Danio rerio: one gene and its partner. The protein of the gene in region 1 purifies or fractionates together with the protein of each later gene. This does not show direct contact. Links are inferred from orthologs where the notes say so. Each region holds a gene or a part of one and is shown on either strand. Other genes may lie near its edges.

Region 1 (3,660 bases):
ATTCACAACACACCACACCTCATATTTGTGCTGGGTGTAATGATCTCCACACCTGCACTGGCATCAGAAACGGCCCTTGAAATAGCGCTGCTGGAAATCGCTCTGTTCCGGTTCATGATCTCCTCAAACTCAGCTTCGCTCAGGGGAGTGCGAGACGCATCCATGTCCCTGAAGCACACAAAATGCTGATTAATGAACACGCGCAAACTAAAAGCACGAGTCAGAGCGAAGCGTAATGCTTCAGGGATCGAATTCACACAAAGAGCTGCAGTGGTCGTTAGTGCTGAATCACATTGCATCACATGTTAAATCAAAGTGAGGCACAGACATTTCAGCAACTAAAAACTAAAGCGACACCAAAATAAAAGGAAATACCATCCAAATGCAAGATAGACAGGTTTAAAAAAATAGTTACGTTTCACGTATGTTTTGTGGTATTTTTGTTGTTTTCTGCTTTGCGCTCTTCTCTCTCTCTCTCTCTCTCTCTCTCGCAGTGGTCCTATCCTGTTTCAGGTGTGCTACCATTGGTCGAGTGAGCTGTCATTCACCTTCGTCACTCAATCGGCGCTAATAAGGATTGGGTCCGCGCAGTATAAAACCGGTGCGCTTGCGCTGTTCTGGAGGAGCGCTTGGCCTGTCAATCTCTCAAACTGTTGACTTGTTTGTTCCGCTTGGTTTGTTTGCGAGTGCTGTGTTCTAGTTTTCTCTTTGTTGATATGGATTTATCAGTTAAACTTGTGCTGCTCAGGTTAATGTATAGTGAGAATATGAACGATCTTTATGAGAATTGGATTACCTGAGATCTTGTTTTGCTAATGGCTAACAGTCTGTACTTTACAAGAATTCTAGTATTTCGAGCAGCTTAGTATAACTTTGTATTAGTTCGTTTTTGGAGGCGTTGCCTCATGTGTAATTATGTTTGGGAGTTATGAAGTTTAGTTAAGCTACGTGCTGAAGATTACTGTTTTGTTTCTGCATTTTTCTTTGATCAGTCAGTTTAGTGGGTTGGGGTTTAGTTAGATCGTTTTGTTATATTTATTTCTTTGTTTTGGCAACACTCCTATTTTTCTTTATTTAATTCAATTATTTAAAATTACATTTATCTTCCATCTCATATTCATTGTTTGACATTATCCATTAATAAATACTTACTTTTTGTTTCACTTATCAAGCGTTTGTGTCTTCTCCTTATTCACCCAGCATCAATGGACTCACTGATTGTTACGTATCATCCTTTTAATTATTTAACATCATTAACACGTAACAATATATAAATACATTTAGGAGTTCACACTTAGACAATGCTTAACTATGATAGCAGGTTTGGCATGCTGTCCCAGGAGAGAACCTGAATCTCAAATCGAAGAGCACAAGGTTCCCGTTTGGTCAATGAGCATTAGTTTGGATAGGAGATCGGGTATTCTTCGAGAGCCCTCTCGTTTGTTTTATACTATGGTTAATATGGTGGTTCTGACTGATTCAGTATGTATGCGTTAAGTGCTTATGACTTTACAGTTCGCTTATGTACATGTTTTAAGACTGTTGGAGGAAACCGGAGTACCCGAGGAAAACATACGGGAACACAGGGTGAACATGCAAACTCATGGCAGAGAGTAACGACTGGCTCAATTAGAACTTGAACCTTTGGCCCTCCCACTGCGAGGCAGCAGCGCCAGCCATTGAGCCACCCTGTTGCCCTATCATATAATTAACGAGGAAGGAGAAGGGAAGGATAGAAGGGGGTTTGCCAAAAACGAAGACAGGGAACGGAGTTTAGGCAGGATATTCATAGTAGTTTTGGAATGATCTGATAGGCTAGCTAATGATCAGTGATGAGGATCAGCTCTAGTTGATCATATCACGTGCTCTTCTAGAAATTAGTTTGTGAAACTTCACTTATTTTTTAATATTTATAAAATGTTATCAAGTTATGGCTGTCAATATTAAAATGTAATGTGAAATGATTAAATTACATCTAAATGTGCTTCCAATGAAAAACAATTGAATGCATATTTGCAGTGTTATCTGTTGTAGTGAGCATGCCATCACAGCATACTATAGTAAGACTGTTCATTTAACTGTGCACATACACTTCGGGCTTTTTAGAGTATAGGTGTAGTTGTGGGCGATGTGTTTATTACCTGCCACCAGGGAAGTCTCTGTCATAAGGAGGTGGGCGGCCGTACGGGTCTCCAGGTGGGGGTCCTCTGCCGTCAGATGATGGCATGTTGTTTCCAGGTGGTGGGAAGAAGGCCGGGTTGACGTGAGGAGCCGGCGGTGGGCCTCCAGGTGGGGGTCCCTGCATGTGTGGTGGGGGTGCGAGGCCAAGCGGGGGTCCTAAGGGCCCAGGTGGACGGGGAGGGAAGGGTCCTGGAGGGGGTGGTCCCTGCTGAGGTGGAGGGGGGCCTGGGGGAGGCCCGTATCCTGGTGGGGGAGGCCCAGGAGGCATCGGGCCCATTGGGGGTTGCCCGAACTGACCAGGAAACAAGACAGGTGGAGGAGGACGGTCTCCTCTGTTAGGGGGTCCGCCGAGGGGAGGAGGCAGACCTTGTCCAGGTGGAGGGGGGCCTGGAGGTCCCAGGGGCCCAGGTGGGCCAGAGGGAAGACGTGGTGGGCCCTGCATACCTGCAAGAAGATTTGATGCATTACATTTTGAAGCAGAGAGGAGAAGGGATTACAAAAATACACATGAAATCAAAACTAACCGTATGATTTTGGGAGCTCACACTGCTAGTTTTGTGGTGAACATTAAACATCACCCATTCTTGATTTAGGACAATTGATCAACTTTTTCTGATTCACTTGAAAAGTGACCCATTCACCTCAGAGCATCAGTTTTCAGACCAAATATTGTTGCCAAATATTTGTTATTTCCTTATTAATTACTGATCTCATTTCATTCCTTCCCAAAGGTACTTTAACATCTACTTGATTTTTCTTCAATGATTCTTTTTGCCAATTTATCTGCCAATTTTATTTCCCATTATTCCAATATGTGCCGGTCCACAACAAAAATGTACATTTTTACCCTCTACTTTAAGTCTGTATAATGTTGTAGAAACTTGCATTATTAAATCTTCTCTATCAGTTGTTATAGATCCAACAACTGATAGAACAAATTACAGTCCTATTTGTTTCCTCCCATTGCAGACCTATAATAATAGCTGTTAGTTCTGATGTATATACTGACAATTCAAAAGTTCACTCCTGTTCAAGCTTATACCTGGGAAGTGTGGTGGAGGACCGCCAGGTCCAACCGGTCCAGGGAAGCGGTCTCCTTGTCCAGGTGGGCCAGGAAAGCGTCTCTGACCTTTGCCAGGAGGGAATCCTCCACCTCGAGATCCTGAGCCTGGAGGACCAGCCTTCCCCTCTCCTGACATCTGTCCTGACTGTGTGCCTGCGTGGACCAAAACACACTCTTCTAAACTGCAGCACACATACAGCAACGCTATTCTCATTCAGTAAGTTTAAAGTCCCCGTGAAATCAAAATTAACATTAGATGTTAGTTTTAAGGATATCTATAGTCTAGTGTGCTCCAAAACAGTGATAAAATTTACATTTACAAGATAAAAACATAAAAAGTTGCAGATTGTCACTTTATCTTAAATGGATTTTTTTTTTTATCAAATCTGCTGGCCAATCAAATGCATATATTTGAC
Region 2 (2,938 bases), on another chromosome or scaffold:
TTAAGTTTTCGAGGTTTTATTTAATAGAAAACAGATAGGAGTAAAACTCATGAATATGTAATTTCTTATTCTTGAACTGATGGCTTGTAAAAAAATTATTTCTCTTTGTAAAATTTATAAAACATGACAGACTTTTTTACAGTTAAAATCAAAATAATTAGCCCTCCTCTGAATTATTTTTTGCTGTATAAAAATTTCCCAAGGGATGTTTATCACAGCAATTACTTTTTAAAAGTACTTCCTATATATATTTTTTCTTCTGGACAGTCTTAATAGTTTTATTTCAGCTAGAATTAAAACAAAATCTGACTGTCTACAGAGCAAACTATTGTTATACAATGATTTGCTTAATTACTAACTATCCCAATTAACCTAGCCAGGTCTTTGAGAACTAGTATCTTGAAAAAGATCTAAAAATTATGCTAAAATGAAAGAAATCAGTCATTTTAAACAAACCTATTTCTTAATTTGCTTAATTCCTGACATTTCAAGTATTGGCGTAAGCTTAACAATTCCCAATTTGCATTACTGGAGTGATCACAATGTCTACATTAAAAAAAATATTAAAAAGAATGAGTCAATTTGAAACAGTCTTTATTAAGGCATGAAAAACAACATGAGAATTTATATTTGCTGAAAAATTTATTGTCCTCAAAACATATGCAATTCCATTTCAGCAGATAATTTAAATTACTCTTGTGAGGGTGAAGAATAAAATGAAAGAGTAGAGGAAATATTCACAGTGCAAAAACACAATATGTAAATCAGCGTTCCAAAACGTTTGGACACCCCTCTCTCGTTACCTTGGTAACAATATTTTCATACTGTCAATGATATGTTTCTCTCCAACTCAAATTGTACAAGAGATGAGGTACAAAAGGGCTTTTGCAACTCTGCAAATTTTGCAAATCTGCAATCACATTCACATTTCTAAAGTGCTTCCTCTACAAAAGCCTTAATGCAAAACCATGATGTAAAAAGAATCTGCAACAATTTTAAATGAGAACCAAAATATTCATGAAAATTCAGAACCCAAAATAAAATAACCTGTCACTCAAGTAGGAACTCTCTTCCATTGACGGGAGAGGCTAGCTTGGTCAACAACAACAAAATAACATGTTAACAAATTCTCATGAAAGTTGAACAGTACTTAAGCAGTTTTTTTAAGATGATCAAGTGAAATTAACGGTTAAACCTATGAATTAAACAGTTAGTTTTGTCTTATGCTCATCTCTCCCATTTTCATCTTTTTCCTTGTCATCTTTGTCTTTGTCCTTGCTCTTTTTCGACTTCTTTTTTTTATGTTTGTGTTTTTGTCCCTTGAGTTCTGATTCAGATTCATTACTTGTATGTTTCTTATGCTTTTTGTGTTTTTTGTGCTTTTTGTGTTTCTTCTTTTCCTTTTTCTCCTTTTTGTCCCTTTTCTTCTTTTTGCTGTCCTGGCTGCCTGGAGAGCTGGGGCTGCTGCTGTGTCCGTGGCTTCCAGACGGGCTCGGGCTATGGCTGCCACTGCTGTCCCGCTCTCTTCCTTTCTGCTCTGTTTTGCTCTCAATGTCCGAGGCCTCACTGTCACTTTCACTGTAGTCAGGGACAAACGCAGCCTCATCGGTTTCCCGTGCTAAATCTGAGGAGAGTCTTGTCAAGCGCGCAGACGGTATTTTGATATGGTCTACATGTGGAGCACTTTTCTCCGCATCAGTCCTTGGCTCAGGAGTCAAAGTTATATGTGGAGTCCTGTGCTCTTTGTCTTTACTGGGACGCACTTCAGAATGCCTAGAAGACTGGCTCTCTCTGTGGTCCTCTGGACCTGATCGTTTTGGCTCAGAGGTATTTTGAATTGGTGCTCTCTTAGTCCTACTTGGACTTTGTGACTCTTGAGGTGCTTCAAGATTTTTTCTCCCAGAGTCTTTGTGCAAGTCCTTCACCCTTGATGGTGGGGATGATGGTATTCTCCTGATTGGATTTTTCTCATCTTTTGATCTTGTACCCAAGTGGTCTTTTGTATCATCTCTATGCTCTGGTTTCCTACTGGTGGGGCCTGTAGTCGTCTCCCTACCTGTTGGCTTTCTAGAGTTTGGTTCAGCTTTATCAGCCTGCCTGTCTCTAGAAGACTGAGAAGAGGAGCTCCGCTCACTGCCATGGTCACTGCCTTTCTCCTGTGCATGTGCGCTCTCCTGATTAGGTACACTAGGTTTCTTTTTATCAGTTGACTCACGATCTGTAGTGCTGCTGCGATCTTTTTCTTTGGTTCTTTCTCGTTCTCTGTCTTTGTCAGTATCTTTCTCCTTATCACCTGAGGTGGAGTCTTTGGCAGGTTTGACATCAGCCTCTTTCAAGGTAGATTGGGCTTTGTCAGAATGGGGAGACTCCTTGTCAGATAATTTCACAGCAGAGTTCTCCACTGAAGGAGCAGCGACAGATGTATCGGCACTGCTCGTCCTGTTGAGAACCTTAGAATCATCATCCTCAGATTCATAGTCCTCCTTTTCCCACTTAGAACGGGGCACTTGTATCATTACAATTTCATCCTCAGCAGGGGTGGAGCTGTCATTGGTGTATTCTTCCAGGGTCTTCACAACAGTCTTCTTTAAGTCAATCTTCTCCTCATGCTTTCTGATGGGGCTTCCACCTGTAGAGCTGGTGCTGCAAAATACAAATAATCAAATATAAATAAGCTAATGTTCAAATTAAATGGGAAAAAAAGCTATTTAATACTTCTCACCTGGTATAATCGACAAGTAAAGACCCTGATCCATCCGGAGCATGTACCTTCCTCCTCAGTTTTCCTCTTGACTTATCAAGCCTGCCCTTTCCAGGGCCATGAGCGGAGTCCTCAGCTAAAACTGGTCGATCAGTGCTAGATATTCTCTTGCCAATTTCCCTATTGATTTTAATTTTCCTTACAGGCTCTGGCTTGATATCTAGAAGAGAGGGAATA

Evidence for each region. Proteins that work in one complex are often made in the same cells at the same time.
Region 2: the proteins of cpsf6 (region 1) and rbbp6 purify together in Homo sapiens (affinity purification with mass spectrometry; 3 studies listed by BioGRID and IntAct, with this or other methods). This does not show direct contact. The link is inferred for Danio rerio from reciprocal best matches to the Homo sapiens genes CPSF6 and RBBP6.

What each region holds. Positions count from the first base shown.
Region 1 is NC_133179.1:2,380,969-2,384,628, forward strand, and holds part of cpsf6 (cleavage and polyadenylation specificity factor subunit 6), read right to left. Parts: intron 3,398-3,660; coding exon 3,224-3,397; intron 2,626-3,223; coding exon 2,142-2,625; intron 169-2,141; coding exon 53-168; intron 1-52. UniProt on the Homo sapiens protein: Component of the cleavage factor Im (CFIm) complex that functions as an activator of the pre-mRNA 3'-end cleavage and polyadenylation processing required for the maturation of pre-mRNA into functional mRNAs.
Region 2 is NC_133178.1:34,277,042-34,279,979, reverse strand, and holds the end of rbbp6 (E3 ubiquitin-protein ligase RBBP6), read right to left. Parts: coding exon 2,723-2,938; intron 2,644-2,722; coding exon 1,203-2,643; 3' UTR 578-1,202; downstream 1-577. UniProt on the Homo sapiens protein: E3 ubiquitin-protein ligase which promotes ubiquitination of YBX1, leading to its degradation by the proteasome.